Arabidopsis thaliana: one gene and its partners. The protein of the gene in region 3 interacts with the protein of the main gene of each other region in a pairwise test. Each region holds a gene or a part of one and is shown on either strand. Other genes may lie near its edges. The genes, in order: FRS5, AT5G02050, AT3G07500 and AT5G05120.

Region 1 (6,709 bases), on a different chromosome or scaffold from region 3:
GGCACCCACTGGCCAGGAACTTGGGCAGCCTCTACTCGAGAGCATTCCAAAGGTGATCATGCTGGGATTCTCCAGGTGATGTTGAAACCACCTAGCAGCGATCCATTAATTGGAAATAGCGACGATAAAGTCATTGATTTTTCAGACACGGACACTCGTTTACCCATGTTTGTGTATGTGTCACGTGAGAAGCGGCCTGGATATGATCACAACAAGAAAGCTGGAGCCATGAATGCACTTGTTCGTGCCTCTGCTATCCTCTCAAATGGACCTTTTATCCTTAATCTTGATTGTGATCATTACATCTATAACTGTAAGGCCGTACGAGAAGGGATGTGTTTTATGATGGACAGAGGTGGTGAAGACATTTGCTACATTCAGTTTCCGCAAAGATTCGAAGGCATCGATCCTTCTGATAGATATGCTAACAATAACACTGTATTTTTTGACGGTAATATGCGTGCTCTCGACGGTGTCCAGGTACTGTATATATACTTATTTTTGATGCAATGCAAACCAACTATAGACAGATATATATATAAAGATCCTTTACCAAAAAATAAATGATTCTCTGTTTTTCTTTTCCAGGGACCAGTTTATGTTGGAACAGGTACTATGTTTAGGCGCTTTGCTCTCTATGGTTTTGATCCACCCAACCCTGACAAGCTTCTTGAGAAGAAGGAATCAGAAACAGAGGCTCTAACCACCAGTGACTTTGACCCGGACCTTGATGTCACACAACTCCCCAAGCGCTTTGGGAACTCCACACTCCTAGCTGAGTCAATTCCAATTGCAGAGTTCCAAGGTCGTCCATTGGCAGACCACCCGGCTGTCAAGTACGGTCGTCCTCCCGGAGCCCTTAGAGTCCCTCGTGACCCACTTGATGCTACCACTGTCGCAGAGTCTGTTTCTGTAATCTCTTGTTGGTATGAGGATAAAACGGAGTGGGGAGATAGAGTTGGATGGATTTATGGGTCGGTGACAGAGGACGTGGTCACAGGATACCGCATGCATAATCGTGGGTGGCGCTCGGTTTACTGCATAACTAAGCGAGATTCTTTTCGAGGCTCTGCACCCATTAATCTCACGGATCGTCTTCACCAGGTGTTGCGGTGGGCCACTGGGTCTGTTGAGATCTTCTTCTCTAGAAACAACGCCATTCTCGCCTCCAAACGTCTCAAGTTCCTCCAACGTCTCGCATACCTCAATGTTGGGATATACCCTTTCACGTCTCTGTTTCTCATCCTCTATTGTTTTCTTCCGGCATTCTCTCTTTTCTCTGGACAGTTCATCGTGCGGACGCTCAGTATCTCCTTCTTGGTCTACCTTCTTATGATCACCATTTGTTTGATTGGATTGGCGGTTTTGGAGGTCAAGTGGTCTGGCATTGGGCTGGAAGAATGGTGGAGAAACGAACAGTGGTGGCTCATCTCAGGAACAAGCTCTCACCTTTACGCAGTGGTCCAAGGAGTCCTCAAAGTGATTGCAGGGATCGAGATCTCCTTTACCTTGACGACCAAGTCAGGGGGAGATGACAATGAAGACATATACGCGGATTTGTACATAGTGAAATGGTCGTCGCTGATGATACCGCCTATAGTGATAGCAATGGTGAACATAATAGCGATTGTGGTGGCGTTCATCAGGACAATATACCAAGCGGTGCCACAATGGAGCAAGCTAATCGGAGGAGCATTTTTCAGCTTCTGGGTGTTGGCGCATTTGTATCCATTTGCAAAAGGATTGATGGGACGAAGAGGCAAAACTCCAACCATAGTTTTTGTGTGGGCAGGTCTCATTGCCATCACCATCTCTCTACTGTGGACGGCCATAAACCCAAACACCGGACCTGCAGCTGCTGCAGAGGGTGTTGGAGGCGGTGGTTTTCAATTCCCGTAATTAAAAAAGCATTCATATAGGCGACTTGAGAGTTTTGTAGACTAATCACAAGAAATTAATACGTATACTATCTTTGTTTCTTTTTGTTTTTGTTTTTGTTCCTGGTAGTAAATTTTCAGATAACTACATGTATATCTGGATTGAGATGTCATGACTGTATAAATCAGCCTTTGTATCAATCATTTCGTCTTTAAAAGTCAATTTTTCCTCTCCTCCACTCGCAACTGATAGTGAACCATACGGTAAGCGTAAAAGAGGATGGGCCTTATAAAGTAAATGAAGAGGGAGTGGGCCTTATAAAATTATAAATGAAGAAGGAATGGGCCTTATAAAATAAATGAAGAAGGAATGGGCCTTGCTTAAATTAAAAAAAGAGAATTAGAAGCACCGTCTGTCTTCCTCCTCCGTGCCCTCCGACGACTCTATTCCCAGTCTCCCTCCTCCGTCGTCTCTCATCTTCCTTTTCATTCTTCGGTTATTATAACGTAATCAATTACAAGTTCCCTTATCTCTTCTTTTCTGGTTTCTCCCGCGCACGAACGCGCATTCCCTCGTCTTCGCTGCCTCCCAATCTCAATCTCAGACTTGAAATCAAATCACGACTGTAAGTGGTTCTATCTACAGTAGCTAGCTATTTCATCCTGTTGTGGACAATAGATAGATAGAATTCATCCCTGAAGACAAGGAGGATATGATGGATAATGAAGTGCTCGACTTCGATATTGGTGTAGGAGTTAGTAGTGGCGGAGATGTTGATGACGACGCTATTGATATTGAGCACCATGCTCTCGACGACGATGATATGCTCGACAGCCCAATTATGCCTTGCGGTAATGGTCTTGTTGGCAATTCTGGAAATTACTTTCCCAACCAGGAGGAGGAGGCTTGTGATCTCCTGGATCTCGAGCCCTATGATGGTCTTGAATTCGAGTCCGAAGAAGCTGCCAAGGCATTCTACAACTCGTATGCCCGTCGCATTGGCTTTAGTACCCGTGTCAGTTCCTCCCGCCGCTCCCGCCGTGATGGAGCTATCATCCAGAGGCAATTTGTCTGTGCCAAAGAAGGTTTCAGAAATATGAATGAAAAGCGCACCAAGGACAGGGAGATCAAGCGTCCCAGGACCATCACTCGAGTCGGTTGCAAAGCCTCCCTCTCTGTTAAGATGCAGGATTCCGGTAAATGGCTTGTCTCTGGCTTTGTCAAAGACCACAACCATGAGCTTGTTCCTCCCGACCAAGTTCACTGTCTGCGTTCCCACAGGCAAATCTCTGGCCCTGCCAAGACTTTGATTGACACACTTCAAGCTGCAGGAATGGGTCCCCGCAGAATCATGTCCGCCCTCATCAAAGAGTATGGTGGCATCAGCAAGGTTGGTTTCACCGAAGTGGACTGTAGGAATTATATGAGGAACAACCGCCAGAAGAGCATAGAAGGAGAGATTCAGCTTCTTCTTGACTACTTGAGGCAGATGAATGCTGACAACCCAAACTTCTTTTATTCTGTTCAGGGAAGCGAAGATCAGTCTGTTGGTAATGTCTTCTGGGCTGATCCTAAAGCTATAATGGATTTCACTCACTTTGGAGACACCGTTACATTTGATACAACCTACAGGTCCAACAGGTACCGTTTGCCTTTCGCACCCTTCACTGGTGTAAATCACCATGGCCAACCCATTCTTTTCGGCTGTGCCTTTATCATCAATGAAACTGAGGCTTCATTTGTATGGCTTTTCAATACGTGGCTAGCCGCAATGTCCGCCCACCCTCCTGTCTCAATCACCACCGATCATGATGCTGTTATACGTGCAGCCATCATGCACGTTTTTCCTGGTGCCCGCCATCGCTTTTGCAAATGGCATATTTTAAAGAAATGTCAGGAGAAGCTGTCGCATGTCTTCCTCAAGCATCCTTCGTTTGAGTCAGATTTCCACAAATGTGTCAATCTGACAGAGTCGGTTGAGGATTTTGAGAGATGCTGGTTTTCACTTCTTGACAAGTATGAGCTAAGAGATCATGAGTGGCTACAAGCAATATACTCCGATCGCCGGCAGTGGGTCCCAGTATATCTCCGTGATACCTTTTTTGCCGACATGTCCTTAACTCATCGTAGTGATAGTATCAATTCATATTTTGATGGTTATATAAACGCTTCAACCAATCTAAGCCAGTTCTTTAAGCTGTATGAAAAAGCTTTGGAGAGTCGTCTCGAGAAAGAAGTTAAAGCAGATTATGACACAATGAACTCACCTCCTGTTCTGAAGACTCCATCTCCAATGGAGAAGCAGGCGTCTGAACTTTACACAAGGAAGTTGTTTATGAGATTTCAGGAAGAACTAGTTGGAACCCTGACTTTCATGGCATCCAAAGCTGACGATGATGGGGATCTTGTTACCTACCAGGTTGCGAAATATGGAGAGGCTCACAAGGCTCATTTCGTTAAGTTCAACGTTTTGGAGATGAGAGCAAATTGCAGTTGCCAGATGTTTGAGTTCTCTGGCATCATTTGCAGACATATATTGGCAGTCTTCCGGGTCACCAATCTCCTTACACTTCCACCTTACTACATCCTAAAAAGATGGACCAGAAATGCCAAAAGCAGTGTTATATTTGATGATTATAATTTGCATGCGTATGCTAATTACCTGGAGTCTCATACCGTCCGATACAACACCTTACGTCACAAAGCTTCTAATTTTGTGCAAGAAGCTGGAAAATCTCTGTATACTTGTGATGTCGCAGTTGTTGCTCTGCAAGAAGCTGCCAAGACTGTGTCCCTGGCAATGAATAAGGAAGTTAGAAGAACTATGGCGAACAGGCATTTTAAAGCGAGTTCTGTAACTGGTGGAAAACATCAGCAAGAAGTGCTGGCGCAACCTGAGCCCGAGGTGAGGATCATTTTCTTTTCGATACTTGTTTTCTTTTTGATATAATAGCAATCAAATTTGTTGCTCTAAAAAATAGTTATATACGTTTGAAGTATCGTTTGTGCGGGTTTGCCCCATACAATACAATCATTGCTTTGTCTCCTTGACGGTACCATAATGCTGATTGCTCTGTTAACGTTTGACTAATGAGCTCGTGATTCACATATGCATGTTAAGAGTATGGTCTTCATTTTGCCATTGTGAGCCTTTGTTCCGTACAATCTGCAAGGTCCTCAATTTTGCTATGTGCTTTTACTGCTGACTAATTGCATGACCGTATTTCCTCTACTTTCGCAGGACGAAATGGACAAGAAGATTAATCAGCTCAGAAACGAGCTGGAATTAGCAAACAGGAAATGCGAAGCTTACAGGACTAACCTACTTTCAGTTTTGAAAGAAATGGAAGACCAAAAGTTACAAGTGTCCATCAAAGTGCAGAACATCAAAATTAGCTTGAAGGATAATCTGTGAAACAAGCAACAAATTCCGACTGCTATTCTCATCTATAACATATTGCTCATGTACTATATCTCTTATAGGGTTTTTGAAAGAGGGACCCAATTTTCAGGATTTCCCTGTTCTTACAGTAGGTAGCCTTTGTAATAGATTGTACTCCCAATCATTTCCTTACTGAGTAAGAGCATGAAGTTGATTCCCATAAATGTTTGCATACCAAGTTACCAACCACAGTACGTGAGTTGAATTGTGATGTTATGTATCCAGCAGATTGCACTCACTCTTTCAAGCTTAGTCTAGCATTTTGTACCTTGAGGGATAGCTGAAACTTCTGTTCTTCCATATCTCTCAAAATAGACAGCAGGTTTGCTCGATAAACTTCACATCGCTGGCCTGTCCTCTCCAACTCAGCTGTCAGTTCAAGTATCGTCCTCTCTTTTTCACCCTGGCATTGAAGTAAGTACTTATTCCCAAGGAACAGAGGACATCAATGTTAAAGAATTATCAAATACCAGTATTCGCTTACCCCTGGATGATTCGTTGCATTTGCTGTTTCTCGAGCTTCCTCGGACGGGTAAGCTTCCCCATTGGGAAGCCTAGTTCCAGGTGTTCTGTTACTTGCAGCAGCAACCTTCTTGGCAGCTTCATCCAAAGCATCCATTGCAACTTTATAGATCTGAATAGATTTGGCACCTTCCTCGACATACTTGGTTGCTTCTTGGCGTAGACTGTTGAAGCAGAGATTTAAAGATTCTTGACAGCCATTTGAAAACTCAGGTTGTTCCTCAGTGCCTCTAATCTTTGCTTCTTTGGTCCATCGCCTCAGTAGATACCGAGATGGAAGAGCAAGAACATTTTTGGCACTGAACACCGCCAATATGTGTCTACATATAATCCCTGAATACTCAAACATTTGACAGCTGCAATTAGCTTTCACCTCAAGAGAGTCAAAACTGACAGTATGACCTTTGTGAACTTCTCCGAACTTAGCGACACGATAAGTAGTGTGAGTTCCTGAATCACTAATTATATTTGCAGGAATTGCAAGGGTCTCAACAAACTCCTCCTGAAACTTGATGAATGCTGCCCTTGTATAGAGGCTAGCAGCTTGCTTTTCCATGGGAGAGGGCGTCTTCATAACTGGAGTAGAGTTAGTTGCTTCGTAATCTGCTTTCAGTTCTTTCTCACGCCAACTATCAATTGCTTTCTCATACTGTTTTATGAGCATTTGCATTGTAGTTGATGCATCCACAAACCCTTGGAAGAATGAGTTCAAAATGCTGCTTCCTTCATTTGTAGACAGCTCTCCATAAAAGGTGTCTCGGATGAAAACACGGACCCACTGTTGTCTAGCATTATAAATGGACTGGAGCCAGTCGTTATCCTCCATATAATATCTCCTGACGATAGAGTCCCAAGATGCCTCAAACT
Region 2 (5,029 bases), on a different chromosome or scaffold from region 3:
TTGTTTATCAATGATGTCTTGTTCACTTAGAATTGTCAAATTTTACTTCTCAGGATTGGGAGTCCTTACAAGGCCTTTAGCGATCTTCGCTGCGCTTTTGACAGCATTAAGTTTGGCATTTCTAAATGACAGGTTTTTCTTCATCTTCCTTTTGTTTTTAAACTCTCAGAGCTTTGACTAGTGGATATGCTTGAATCAGTAGATCCATATTGAGTATTCTTGTCTACAGCTTTGCAGGTTCTTTTAGTGAGAAGGCGACACGAACCGTCAGAAGATTCTCTCCACAGTTAGCTGCTAAAATGAGACCTCCTTTGACGTATGTTTATCTCTCTTTGTTGCCTTTCATACTCTTTGTTACTCCTTGCTTATTATCATCTATGTTATCTGTGTTTTTTAGACCTGTCACTCGTGGGCGTCCATCATCAAAGAGAGCAATCCATGTATGTGGTCAACCCCGTTGGGTTTTTGTCTTGACATGCTCACTTGGTATGTGGCTTTGTATATTTTCATTTGATGTAATATATCTCCAAAAACCGTAAAAAACATGATTTGGAGTTTTTTTTTTGTTTCGCAGTGAGTTTTGCTCTTTGGTATATTTCCTCTGGTTTGCTCAGAGTCTCGGTTGCGCTACTCATTGCACATCTTGGTATGCAGTCTACACAAATCCTCATAAGTCATAACTTAGTTTCTCTCACTCTACTTCAAAAATCCACATATAGGCTTTTATAAACTCAACCTCTTTTTGTAATTTGTGTTACAGCAACAATTCTTCATGCAAGCTTGAGAACACCGAACTTGAAGGCACGTTTTAACACATTTAGGGAGGAATTCCGAGCAGTATGGCGTAACTACAGCGAGATTTAGAGTAATGTAAGTTTGAAATATCTTCTTCTTAGTCTAACATCTATTTGCTTAACTGGATGGTTAGATTTTCTGAAATGTTGACAGTCTTTGGCAGCTTGTACCACCATGATCGTGTTCTGCTGAGGACATAACGCTGTAAAGACCAAACTTACTGCCTTTCTCCAAGATAAACCCGGTTTCGTTAACACTGTACTATGGATGTTCAATCTGGATTTGTTGCTCAATGACTGGGATCATCTGTTTTTTCTTTGATTTGAGATTTGAGCTCTGAGCTCTTTTTGCTAGCAAAATCCTCTCTTTTTTTTGCTAAAGACTTGTAAAGCTAGCTTTGTTGTTCTTCGTTCTAACACAAAACCCTTTGTGTAAAGTCCTAGAATCGTTTAATAGCTTGCATTTTTTTCTTTCTTTTTTTGGGTTGAGAGGTCTAGTAACAATAATAATGAGATAACAAGAAATGGAAAATAAACAAATGATTTGACTACTTAGCCGAGAGTTTTCGGATAAGAATAGGCAATGGGAAAATGCAAAAGAATTATACTTTATTGAGGTCGTAACATTTTTTCCAACTGACACTCGAAAGAGTTGCATCTTATATCTAGCAAAGTACCTAAAAACCCATTAAAAACATGTAGCAATATTGTTAACAAGCATAACACATGACCTCACTTTCAACGATTGCTCATGGTGATATCAAGTTCATCTAAGATAAACTCAAAAGTTTAAAGCAAAAAGAAATCTCGCTCTTATTCTCTGAACAAAGTTCAGTTTCACTTCTCGACAAAAGACTTGAGATCCTTGAGCCATTGAAGATACTCTCTGCTATCTTTGTTGGCCACATAATCTGCCAGAAAGGTAGTGAAGCTTGGTTTAATACCTCTGATCTCCAAGTACCTGTGGAAAGCCTTCTGCAAATTCTCATCCAAGTCACTGCACATAACACAATAACCAAATTCAATCACATAACAATACCCCAATCTCATATATTCCAAACAAGAACTCACTATCATTGAAGTAAACTTACTCAAAGTCAGGTCCTTCGTAAGCAAGGTCATTATCAGATCCTTGCGGTTGTTTGATCGATAAACTATCAATCACAATCTCATCCGGGTATGCGCTGACTCCAAACTCAAGACACACACCATCACCTTTCTGCACACTAACAACCATCGGAACCCGGACTTTACCCGAGCTCTCTTGATCTTCATCGTCTTCTTCATTGTTTGGTTCTGCTTCCTCTTCTTCATCTTCATCATCATAAGAAGCAACAGAGTCAACTTCCACTTGGATGGTTTCATCCTCAAATTTCCTTGTCAGCAACACAGTTCTCTCCCCTGAATTATCAATGATTTCAAATGGAAACCCTTCTGGCTTATCTTCCAACTGTTTTTCCAAAACATTTCTAATTCAGATACAATTGTTCTAAACCCCAGAAATATTAAAATCTCATGAATTCGAGAAGAATCATGTATATTGAAAGAGAGAACTTACGAAGTCAGTGTCATGAGGAGCCTCCTCTGCGACGGCGCATTCGATTTCAGATTCGATAACGCTAACAAGATTCTCGTCGGCGGTTGTTTTAGAGATCGCACTTTCCGTCGAAAAGCTCGAGACTGAGAATGAACTAACCGATCCACGCCTGATCTGGTGGCTACCACGAATCAGCCTCTCGACGGAGACAGCGCCACTGCGGAAGCTAACCGGAGATCTACCCGCACGGAAAGCAAGATTGGCTACTGTTGACGAAGCTCGACGAAACACGGTGCTCAACGCCATTTCTGAGGATTCTAGGGTTTTCCTTAAAAGTGAAAAGAGAAACAGAAATGAGGGTTTTACTGAGAGAAGAAGAGAGGTTTAAGGTTTGTTTATAGTGCAAAGCATTATGTAGGAGATAAAAAGCCATTTAATAAGGCCCAATTACTTAATGGGCCATAAGAAGCCCATATATTAAAAGGAATTGGTCATTCGTACAGTGAGAGAGGAATGTCTGTGTGTGGACACGTCCTTAAAGGCAAAAGGAGAGAAGAACAAAATAGCTCTTGCCGGCGTCAGAATTGCGTCACTGTTTCTTCCAACTTCAATTTTAATATCGTTGGCTTGAAGTTAAGGGAAACATAATTGTTCCTCCAAAAAAGCAGAATTAAATTTGTGGTAGATACTTGTTTTTAAATTCATATAGCTCAAAAAAGTTGTCATTTTTAATGTTGGTTTTCTGGTGGCGATGCTCTTAATTACCCAATTCCGTACGATTTATGATCATAAGTCAACTTTTGAGATTTGGGTTTGTGAAATTTTCCTGAATAAAATTATGGGTTTAGGGTTTTTATGATCAATTTCCTGTAAAGTAGCGATTTTTTTCTCCCGGGGATTTTGGTGAGGAACAGGATAGAAAGTCTTGGTTTTGTTCTGTTTATTGTGTTTGTTTTTGGGTTCTGATCAATGAAGAAGATGATTGGGAGTCCTGGAACAATGAGTGGGTTGATACTGAGACTAGGGCAATGTGCAACTGCTGCTGCTTCCATTGGTGTTATGGTTTCTTCTTACGACTTTTCCAATTACACTGCTTTCTGGTAATTGTCCATCTTCAATCTCATTGGTCTTGGTGTTTTGGTTTAGTTTAGTTTAGTTGAAGACATTGGACACTGATGTATCAAAAATCTTGACTTTGTAGTTTTTTCTTGGATAAACTTTTGAAGATAGAGCTAACTGAACTAGTAATTGTGTATGATTAACATTTGCCTGAAACTTTGACAAGATTTTTTTCTTTGTTTGGTAAAAAATATGTGGAAATGGAATTATTTCTATATTTCGATTACTGTATGGGGTTATCTCAAAAGATACAAAATGATGATAGATTGCTTTTGCCAATGATTTCAGCTTCTTAGTCGCATCTATGGGTCTTCAATTGATATGGAGCTTTGGACTTGCGTGTCTTGATGTATATGCGATAAGGAGAAAAAGTGATTTACGAAGCCCTATCTTATTGAGCCTTTTCACTGTTGGTGATTGGGTATTAAACTTATCTTCCATTTCATTATATGCTTATTCACTGTTGGTGTCTTGTTGTTTTAAAGGTTATTTGTTTGATAGGTTTCTTTTGGAATTCTGCAGGTCACTGCACTTCTCGCTCTTGCAGCCGCGTGTTCCTCTGCAGGAGTTACTGTTTTATTCACTAAAGACACTGAGTTTTGCAGGCAGCAACCCGCTCTCTCTTGCGATAGGTTTCAGATTTCTGTTGGTTTATCTTTCTTTAATTGGTTTTTAGCTGCTATATCGTCTCATACCATGTTTTGGATCTTGATATGATATCAAACAAAACCCATCTCAATGATTTTACAAAAATCCATTTCTATGAATTGTTTTTCTCCAATCCATAACCGGAAACAGGGCAAGGGTACAAGTCATTTTGGTAATTTTCTAAGACAGCTATGTCTCAGTAACCTCTTGTGACAGAATATTGATGATGTATTCAATCTCATCAGCAACCTCTTTCATCGAAGGTCGGTTTTGTCTCCGTTCGTTAAGGCACGCAGATGCTAAATTCCCGAGCTGCTGTATCGTCTGCATGTCAATCTTGTTAGCTGTCTTCTTCAGCAGTGGATCGATGCATTCAGTCAATCTCTCTTGATCCATCATCTTGTTAATATACATCACCAGGTTCACATCTTCCTCTTCTCTAGTGAAATCTATCGCCTTCTTCGATGTAACCATCTCCAGAAGCACAACCCCGAAGCTGTACACATCGCTCTTATCAGTTAGCTGGAAATTCCGGTAGTATTCTGGATCGAGGTATCCCAATGTACCTTGCGCACCCGTGAAGATATGGCTCTCGTTATTAGCGGTTTCTGTCAAATCCACAAGTCTTGACAGCCCAAAGTCTGAAACCTTGGCGTTTAGCTTCTCGTCAAGCAAAATATTGCTTGACTTTACGTCGCGGTGGTAAATGGGTGGCTGTGCTGCGGAGTGGAGATAAGCTAATCCTTCAGCGGTTTGGTATGCAATCTGCAGTCTGCGCCGCCAAGTCAGCGGTTTCCAAGTACGGTCTGAACTGCCATGGAGATGTTCGAACAGCGTTCCGTTGGGAATAAACTCGTAGATCAAGAGAGGCAATTCAAGATCAACACAGCAACCGAGAAGCCTAACTAAGCTTCTATGATTGACTTGGCAG
Region 3 (5,355 bases):
TGCTTCAAGTATGGGTGAATGTTGTTTTCTTGATTTCATTTTCGTTGCTTCTTCTTCCATTAGATTGGTTAGAGACTATGGTGTTATATCTAGAGATTGGTAAAAGCAATTGGAAAATGCTAGGAGGTTATTGAACACATTGTGTTGAATTGTGGTTACCTGGTGTTGATATCTGTTGGTCTCGAGCTCAATTTGCCAACAGCTTTAAGCATAGAGAAAGAGAGTATATAGAATGATGTGACTTCTTAGTACTGGAATGAGATTCTTTTTACAGACCATATAGTAATCTTCCCGGTTTCGGTATGCTTAGGATTAATAGGCCATCCTTTATATTCTCGGGTCTAATTGTCTAAGGAGGTGTTTCCGTTGAGTTAGAAGAATTAGTGGAGTTTTGATCTTTCATTCTCATAACCACTGCATCTTTGGTGAGGCTGAGATAACATTAAATATACTCTGAGCATTGTAATCACAGTTTCTGCTTTTAGGGAAAGGGAATAAGGTAGAATGGATCTGGCATCTTATACCAATGGTTTAGTAGATTTGATTTGAGCCTTGTAAACAGAAACTCTGTTTGTAGGATCGATTCTTGTTCAGGGTTTGATTCAGTAACAAAACATATTGAGTATACTGTTTAGATATTATTTTCCTACCAGTAGTTTCTAAACACAGCTTAGGCATCTTTAAATGTTGCGAATAGTTTTCTAATTCTTACTCGTTTTTCAAAATCCGAAACCAAAGCAAACTGAAAAATGGATGCTCATCTCTATCTACCTGAAAACGTCGATATCAAAATCAATTTCTGCTTGTGGTGCACTTAACACAATAATCATTACTCTCAGTCTTATAAGGATGTGCAATACAACATAATTTAAACCTGTTAACAGACTATCAATCTGTTAAGAAGTGATTAAGACCTTGACTATTTTAAAGGCTATCTCTTTTATTTTAATTTTATTATTGTTCAAGTTGTCTCTTCTATTTTCGAAACATCGCCATGTTCAAATCGACAAAAAAAGAAGTGTATAGAACAAATCCACTTAGAATAAGTTACATCTTATGTAGATAAAATAAATAAATAAGTTTTGTAGAAAATTAACCAAACATATACAAACAGACGATAAGCATTTGAATTGAATTATATTTGTCTATACCATAAATTGAGTCTCAAAAGATTTAACCTGAAATAACTATCCTAACGGAAAACTGTTTTGAAGATGACAAAATACGAGATAATGTGTAGATTCCGTGTGTATCTCTATTGATAGACTTTAGTTTTTGTGTATTCTTGAAGGACATAAACCTATTTTAAGACCAGTTCAACAGAAAACTGGTGCAGACCACGATCACAGTTGTAATGAGTTTTCTAAAATGGTAACCACTCCTTTTCCTTTAAGAAGCAGTCCTTCTTGTCTCCTGCCCTAATTCTCTTCTTCTCTATAAACCCATATTCTAGTTTTGTTCTCATTCATTCTCTGTTCAAAGCTCATAAATAATAAACTCCAATTAAGAATGGATCAAGCGGAGCTTGCCAGGATCTTCCAAATGTTCGACAGGAACGGTGATGGCAAAATCACGAAGCAAGAGCTGAATGATTCATTGGAGAATCTAGGAATCTACATTCCAGACAAAGACTTGGTGCAGATGATCGAGAAGATTGATCTCAACGGTGATGGGTACGTGGACATCGAAGAGTTTGGAGGGTTGTACCAGACGATAATGGAGGAAAGAGACGAGGAGGAAGACATGAGAGAGGCTTTCAACGTGTTTGATCAGAACCGGGACGGGTTCATCACGGTGGAAGAGCTAAGGTCTGTGTTAGCTTCCTTGGGGCTCAAACAAGGAAGAACCCTAGAGGATTGCAAGAGGATGATAAGCAAAGTTGACGTTGATGGAGATGGCATGGTGAATTTCAAAGAGTTTAAACAAATGATGAAAGGTGGTGGATTTGCCGCCTTAGGATCAAACTTGTAAAAAAAAAACTCATTTTTCGGGTTCGGGTTTGAGACCCAAAATCATTGGGTATTTTTTTCTTCGGAATGATTATTAGGGCAAAACCTTGAAAGCGATGATGAATGGATTTGCAAAAGAAAAAAGCTCAACAAACTTTGTGAGCTTTGTTTTGAATGCTCCTACAAAAATGTTGTTGATGAATTTGCTTTTCGGATTTTGAAACATAACCATGCGAATCTACGGGAACACTTGATGATTCTTTTATTATTTATATATTTGGGTGTTGCACTTAAAAAGTTATCACTATCTAGCTTATAATCATAAAATGATGAAAATATATTTGTATTTGTAAATTACAAAGATTAAACACAAACAAACAATCGAATTTCTACCCAAAAAAACAAACAAACAATCGAATTTATGTCTTTAAAGTGAAGATTTAGGTCAAAGTAATGGAAAAAAGTGTCTCATGGAATATGTTAGTCAGGCGGTCAAAGTAAAAAGTAAAAAGAGAAAAAACTATAAACTACATGATGTTTAACTCTTCAAGTGACGTCAAGACATAAACTACGTGCCGTTTCGCACTATTCGTAATCCAACGGGCGAGACTGGAATGAATTTATGACCAGATCTTGGTTTTTTCTTGTCGTCTTCTTCACCGCTTACCAGTTACTAACTTGAGCTTCAGAGATCATCATCATCATCACTTCCTCTCTCTGAAGAAAACACAATTTGGAGTTTTCTAATCTTCATTCCAAGTGAGTACTTCAATCGAATCCCTTTTCTACTATTCAATAATTCAATCTATTATTCAAATTCTCGTCTATCTGTTTCGATGATTTTGAGGTTTTCGCTCCCTTTTGTTATCAAATTATGGAATCTGATTCCCAATTTCGCGTTTGTATGTACTCGATTTTCTCTTTTTTCTTGCATGATTACACTTTGGTGAAGTTCAGAATTCGAGTAATATCACTTGAAATTGCTACTCTCTGCCTATTCATTAGGGTTTATGAATACATAGTTTAGGGTTTATGTTTCCATTAGTCACTTCTTGAGGACCTGCTTATCTTCGAGCCATTGTGTATTTGATAAACTTTGGAAGAAGTGTCCACTATATCTAGCGTAGGACTGAATGTAGTAGATTAGAACTGCTAAGAGTTGGTTAGAGAAAGGGGTGGGTAATTTATAAGGATTTTCTAGGGTTTGGTTAGGTATTCGGTAGAGAGTTTCTGGTTTGGTGAACAAGACATAGCTTTGCATCATTTGTTTTGAGTTGAGATGTTTGTGTGTTGTGTTGTGGCAGTGGAAGGGAACTCTTTACCCGAAGAAGATGTAGAGATGATGGAGAATTCAGATGTAATGAAGACAGTCACAGATGAAGCTTCTCCAATGGTGGAGCCGTTCATTGGTATGGAGTTTGAATCAGAAGAGGCTGCAAAGTCTTTCTATGACAATTACGCTACATGCATGGGTTTCGTTATGCGAGTGGATGCTTTCAGGAGGTCAATGCGAGATGGGACTGTGGTGTGGCGCAGACTCGTGTGTAATAAAGAAGGATTTCGTAGGTCGAGACCTCGGAGAAGCGAGAGTAGAAAGCCTCGGGCTATAACAAGAGAAGGGTGTAAAGCTCTGATTGTTGTGAAAAGAGAGAAATCCGGAACATGGCTTGTTACTAAATTTGAGAAAGAGCATAATCATCCTCTCTTGCCTCTCTCCCCTAATGTTCGCCGGAATTTTCAGCTCCCTCAAACACCGGTACGTCTACGCACTTTTCCTTGGGGTAAAAGTAAAACAGTGATTATTGGCATTGATCTAAGAGTTACCAAGAACATAAAGCTCAAAAAATGATATCGAAATCTTGTACAAATGAACTTTTCAGGACGAGAAAGACGCAAAGATTAGGGAGCTGAGTGCAGAGCTGAGCCGAGAGAGAAGGCGTTGTACTGCTTTGCAACAGCAGCTTGATATGGTCCTTAAGGAGATGGAAGAACATTCCAACCATCTCACCATTAACATCAATAGTGTTATCCAAAGTGTTAGAGACATTGAGTCCAATACTTTCACCAAACAACAAACATAATGCTTCATTTCTGTTCATAAAAGCTTAACATCAAATTCTCATAATCCAATGTTCTGTATCTTGTGATTGATTCTTCATTCTCCGAAACAAAAAAACAAAAAACTAGATTGGAAGGCATTGATGATGAAATTACACATTGGCTAATCAAAACAAAGCCATGGACATTATCCAATTTTGACATAGCATCAATGCCAGAAAGCGTAAATGGCGGTAGAGATGTAAATCAGCAGAGCAGAGGAAACCAGAGTGACGAGCGTTGCAACAGCTTGAGCCGCCGATTTGCTGCCGCAAGAGAGCAAACCAAGACGGATCTGAATCACATTAACCATAGAGAGCATCAAGAAGAGACAGCCCATTACAGATCCGACAGCAGAAGCCATCATTCCCCATCTCAAAACCTTGATATTGATGTGAGCTCTGAAAATCTCGTTGACGTCTTTGCTATTAAGAAGGTTTAAGGCAAGCTTAAGACCCTGAGCTACAAGAGAGGAGAAGAGGAAGAAGCTGAAGGAGACGACTTCGAAGACCAGTAGCTTCTTGGCGACGTCAGCACTTGCGTCGCAGCTGGATCGTTGTTCGAGGCTGTGTTGTCCTGGAGTCGCTAAGGAAAGACCAACGAAGACGGCGATGGTGAAGAGAGAGTTCACGTTCACGAGTCCGTCGAGAGCGCTTACGTGGACACTTGTGGTGGCGAGGGAGGATGTTGAAGACGCCTCTGGTGACGTCATTCTCACGCCGTTCTCAGCGCCGGTCATGTAGTTAACCTTCGGCTCAGATCTGCTCGGAAAGGGAAAAAAAGAAACGCAATGGTTAAAAAAAAGATAGATTGATTTTAGGGAAGAGAGAGGGTTTGCTTACTCATACATGAGGGAATCTATTTAAGCAATGAGTTTAGCTTTCCGTCGGGGCTTAGCTTGAAGAAAGAGATGGATTGTCTTAAAGAGAGAGCTTGTCGGAAACACTCTCTCTCTCCCTATCTTTGTACAAACCAGCTTCTTTGAGGCATTTCTTTTCCACGTCACATTAAGTTGTTGACTTTTTCCGATTTTTCTTCTCTTTTTGAATTTTGTTTTTCTGTATGCAGTCAAATGTTAATGGATTTTTGGGTGAATTTAAAAGATTTTTTTTAATGATTTACTATTAGCAACACTTCATAAATAATTTGAATGCATTTTTCAAATCACTAATAAGATTTTCTCTTAAAATTAATGATTAACTTGAGATTTTTCAATCTAATAAGACAAATCATATAGGATACATTCCCTTTTAAGTACCCAATTCGAAGGTTAAAGATAAAAAATTGTCTCAAGCTATGGATGGGATTG
Region 4 (4,469 bases), on a different chromosome or scaffold from region 3:
CCGAGCGGTAATTCGTCAAAGTATTCAAAAATTCTCCATCTTTCTCCTCCCAAAACGGAGGCAATTCTCCAGATTTCTCTCTATGGAGTAACCAGCCTAATCCTTCCTTCTGATGAGCAAAAAGTTCAGACTTTATCACTTCCCTAGGTGGCTCAGCCGCTACCAATTTCCCCATTAACTTCACATTCTCATCAACAAGTTTAAAAATCTTATCAACACTCCTCTTATCTCCATTTCCCATCTGTTCCTTAACCACAACAGCCTCAGATAACCCAAACGATGTATCTGACTCCGAAATCAATACTAACCCACCTCTAGAAATCGTCGATTTCACAGTAGAGGACGCTTCTAACTTTGCAAATACATGAATTTGACAAGGGATTCTGTACCTATTGGAGTTAGAACGAGTATTGGGTACAATACCCTCGACGACGATCGTGTGAGAATCAATCATCGGCGCGAGAACGGCTGCTACTGTACGCTCGATGTGACCCACTTGCTCAGATCGCGTGTTGAGTACTCTGATTGCATTATTGTCATATACGTTCAAGGGTTCTCGAACCAGACCCACCATCTCTCGACCGTTGATTCGGCCGGAATAGTACTTTAACCCTACTATGTTCGCGATAACAAACCCTATCAGATAAGACTCCGAAACACAGTCCTGAGATTGCTGCTGTGATGGTTCCACCGGAGATTGGAATTCGTCTTCGTTCGCCATGGGAGAGGAAGAGAAGCGTCGAAGAAACTGAGCCATGGGAGAGGAACGATGACGGAGAGAAGAAGGAGCTCGAAAGTATTTCAAAACCCGCATCCTTTCGAAAGAGTGGTTTTTTTTTTTATATTGGTATCATAAAGTAACTAAAATTGAGATTTGCATCTCAAATTCTTATAAATAGAATTTGACACCCCAAAGTCAGAACAATATCAAGTTTTTATTATTATATGAAATTCAAATGCAAATAACAACCAAGTTTATTACAATGTTCAAGTGCACAAGTACTGATTTGACACAAGCCGATAATACTATGCAAGAAAACAAAGGTGAGGAATGAAAGTTTAAGAAATACTTAAAAGGGAAAGATTACAATTTCACAGTTTGAGTGAGAGAGAAAGGGAAGAACCATCATTTTCTTTCTCAGCATCCATCTCTTCTGTTGCATCATTTGGTTCTTGAGGTTGTGGTTGGGTTTGGGAGCTACCAATGCCAAGGCAAAGATCCAAACATATTGGTGACGATAGTGGTTGAGGTTGAGATTGGGGTAGGAATGGGATCCCGGTAAAGGTCCAATCCTGGTTCATTCCTTGACTTGGGTCACTTTGTAGTCCTGCAAAGCTAGAGCTTGAGGATCCCACATATTGGTTGTAGACCATGGACATCTTGTATGATCTATCAACTTTGTACTGAGGCTGTTCAAATCCCGGTGGGAGTGCGTATTGGTTAGGAAATGAATGATGATACGAATACGAGTACGCGTAAAGATCTGGTTCTGGTCGGTTCAAATGCGCCAAAAATGCTTTTTGTTGTTTTTCGACCTCTCTCTCCTTTCTGTGTGCATTTTGATGACCACCTAATGCTTGTGTTTTATCGAACTTCCTAGGACAATACTTGCATTTGTATATAGGATTCTCTATCGATCCGGTGGCGGAGGCATCGTCGCTAATATCACTAGCGTAATTCGAGTCCGAGGACAACATTTCGTTGTCGATCGGATCGGGCTTTTAGAAATTAGGTTTGATGGCTTGAATATGTTATTGCACCCGGATAGGTATTTAAAGATTTAATACTTTGTATGCACTTTTAATATCAAGGAAAGTTATATGTTGTAATGTTATGATGTTTGAATAAGATAAATGCATATTGATGAAATATGGAAAGGGACTTAGTTATAGAGAAACATGATGAAGAACAAAGACTAACTGAAGTACTTAACAAACTAGTTTATCATTTCGACAACTCACACATAACATGTTTAATTACTATATATATTTGACATTTTACATTTGCCGAATTTGCGTAGTAAATTTGTTTCTGAATTAATACTTGTTGCATTTAGCATATTTAGTCAAAATTAGTTCCAAACATTACTGATTTCCAAAGTGAGTAGGGAGATTTTGGTTTTGCCCTATTAAATTTGAGATATAGTTGAAAACAAAATTATTTAGAAGAGTTTAAAGAGTTAATTAGTAGATCTTAATGTAGTCAACTTTAGAAAACAAGAATTAAAGATTTAATTAGTGTCATTATGTAGTAAACTTTTAGTACATAATTATCTCAACTCTTAAATAAAATATTTACCTTTAAGTTTTCTATTGTTTTCCATTGCTTGCAATTTTATTTATTTTCATATACATCACTTTGGAGGTAATAAAAATAAAATTATTTTCATATCAACATAATGAAAATATATATTAAAAGTAAGTAATTAAACTAAATTTGGCTACCTTTTAATAAGAGTAGAGAAACTGATGGAAGCATTTTACCATCAAATCTATAATGCTGATTCTCACATCAAAAAAGCATTAACTTAATAATTTTACTATGACATATAGCACATTTTCAGACTTTCTTGTGATATACATGGCTTAGTATGACAGATTGGATTAAACTTAAGATAATGAACATCTATGTATAGTCAAGGTTTAAACAAGATATTCAACTCTAACATACCAAATTAAAATCTATATAGTTTCTTAGCTATCTTTTCAGCATTAAAATATACAGATTGGATTAAACTTATGATATTGAACATCTATGTAATCAAGGTTTATAAACTTTGTAAACATTTTTATAAATAGCACATTAATTGGAGATAAGAAGAAAGCTATATGTATTATAATTAGGGTTAGTGAACTTTGAGAGCTTGGATTGACGATGAACTTCCGCCGTATCATTGGTTCTAGTAGCCATCTCTTGAAAAGGGTCTGTACAACGGAGTATGCTCCGACATCGATCAGGGTTGATGTACTTGCGAAGACAAAAGTGGAAAATAGGAGGATGGAGAAGAAGAGAATCATGCATGTTCGAGAAACTGCAATCTCTCACTGAGCCGGAGGGAATAGCGCACACGTTAAACAAGTTGATGAGGATTGAGAAGGAGCACGAATCCGTCACCAGAGAAGATCTGAAGCACGTAGATTGGATGGTGCGACGACCTGTCTTTCCTTCAAAAGCAAAGATATTGATTGGTTATTAGCTACCTGAGAAGGAAAAAGGGGACTATAACACACTTTCAACACATTTCGTAAATCGCAACTGGTACCTGAGGCTGTCCAACACACTTTCGCAACTGAAACTCATGGTTTCTTTGATGGATTGTCTTAATGAATAACTTAACCACGGCTTTCAGATTTTCTCTTTGCCTTTTAAATCTCTCTTGTAATTAGAGGTAAAATCTCTAGTGCAATCTTTTGCATTTTGCAATTTGCGCTTCTGAGTCACCTAGGCTTCTTCCTAGTGCAATTTTTGAAGGGTCACTTGCAGCAATGACCTAGTTCGATAATAAAACGAAGCTTATGACACTGTACTATGGAAAATTAAGAAAGTGCGTCTTTGATCGTTTTGAGTAAATGGTTTTGTTTACATAGAACATATAACATGAAATGGTATAGAACAAAGAAAACATTCTATATTGTTTTATTCATTTAATCTCTATATCAAATTACTAAAAAAACACATTTTTGAACATTTTATATGATTTCTACAATCAAAAATAAAATATTGTAATGATTTGTGTTCTATATAAGAAACAAAATTTTAGATAATAGCCAAATTAACCATACAAAAAACAAAGTAATGTTTGTGTGAACAACCTCTCCACTTCTGCTTCCCAAGACAAATTTGACCAAATGCCAAAGACTGAGCATAAGTACCAAACACATATTGAGAAGCAGCACCAAACTGATCTTTGAGGTTGAGAAAAGAAAACTGATCTTTTGCATATTTTTTTTTCAAAGGATTAACAACATTGATTTAAAATGGGCTTTCAGATGAGTCCATAAAATGGGCTTAAAAATCATATTTAATGGCCCATAATATTTGTTTGCTTCTCTTAAACGGAAAGAGTCTTTAACCGGCGAAAGAAACCACCCTCTGACTGTTAAGAAAATTCTCATCGGCGTTTAGATCAGAAACTTGGGAATCGGAGAAGCTCACTGAGAACAATGGATATGAGACGTGCTTCGATGTGTATGATGTTAATTTGCGTCTCCTTGGTTCTCCTTTCGGGTTTTGGCCAGTTTGTGATCTGCAGTGAAGAAAAAGGAACGTACAACGACAACGTCGTAAAGATGAAGCTTGGTGGATTTAGCGATTCCAAGAACGATTGGAACGGTGGAAAAGAGATCGATGATATTGCACTCTTCGCTGTTCAAGAGCACAACAGACGAGAGGTTTGATTTCCTCCAACCTAATTTGTATATTCTCTGCAATTAGGGTTAGGATTCTAAAACTTTTAGCGTAAATTCAA

Evidence for each region.
Region 1: the proteins of AT3G07500 (region 3) and FRS5 interact in a two-hybrid assay, tested with the Arabidopsis thaliana proteins (one large-scale study listed by BioGRID).
Region 2: the proteins of AT3G07500 (region 3) and AT5G02050 interact in a two-hybrid assay, tested with the Arabidopsis thaliana proteins (one large-scale study listed by BioGRID).
Region 4: the proteins of AT3G07500 (region 3) and AT5G05120 interact in a two-hybrid assay, tested with the Arabidopsis thaliana proteins (one large-scale study listed by BioGRID).

Annotation. Positions count from the first base shown.
Region 1 is NC_003075.7:17,905,286-17,911,994, reverse strand, and holds FRS5 (FAR1-related sequence 5), read left to right. Parts: upstream 1-2,251; 5' UTR 2,252-2,590; coding exon 2,591-4,783; intron 4,784-5,119; coding exon 5,120-5,293; 3' UTR 5,294-5,481; downstream 5,482-6,709. Other genes in the region: CSLD4 (cellulose synthase like D4), read left to right, coding at 1-480, 589-1,899; FRS9 (FAR1-related sequence 9), read right to left, coding at 5,556-5,723, 5,805-6,709. UniProt on the Arabidopsis thaliana protein: Putative transcription activator involved in regulating light control of development.
Region 2 is NC_003076.8:401,608-406,636, forward strand, and holds AT5G02050 (Mitochondrial glycoprotein family protein), read right to left. Parts: upstream 2,740-5,029; 5' UTR 2,638-2,739; coding exon 2,353-2,637; intron 2,245-2,352; coding exon 1,886-2,244; intron 1,792-1,885; coding exon 1,632-1,791; 3' UTR 1,372-1,631; downstream 1-1,371. Other genes in the region: PRA1.A1 (prenylated RAB acceptor 1.A1), read left to right, coding at 54-132, 230-316, 398-486, 575-646, 761-864; AT5G02060 (Uncharacterized protein family (UPF0497)), read left to right, coding at 3,301-3,431, 3,739-3,871, 3,973-4,167; AT5G02070 (Protein kinase family protein), read right to left, coding at 4,288-5,029.
Region 3 is NC_003074.8:2,389,680-2,395,034, forward strand, and holds AT3G07500 (Far-red impaired responsive (FAR1) family protein), read left to right. Parts: upstream 1-2,536; 5' UTR 2,537-2,707; coding exon 2,708-2,708; intron 2,709-3,253; coding exon 3,254-3,705; intron 3,706-3,829; coding exon 3,830-4,030; 3' UTR 4,031-4,099; downstream 4,100-5,355. Other genes in the region: AGD11 (ARF-GAP domain 11), read left to right, coding at 1,510-1,971; AT3G07510 (maternal effect embryo arrest protein), read right to left, coding at 4,216-4,807, 4,889-4,896.
Region 4 is NC_003076.8:1,508,461-1,512,929, reverse strand, and holds AT5G05120 (C2H2 and C2HC zinc fingers superfamily protein), read right to left. Parts: upstream 1,699-4,469; coding exon 1,093-1,698; downstream 1-1,092. Other genes in the region: AT5G05130 (DNA/RNA helicase protein), read right to left, coding at 1-814; AT5G05113 (uncharacterized protein), read left to right, coding at 2,940-3,197; AT5G05110 (Cystatin/monellin family protein), read left to right, coding at 4,165-4,392.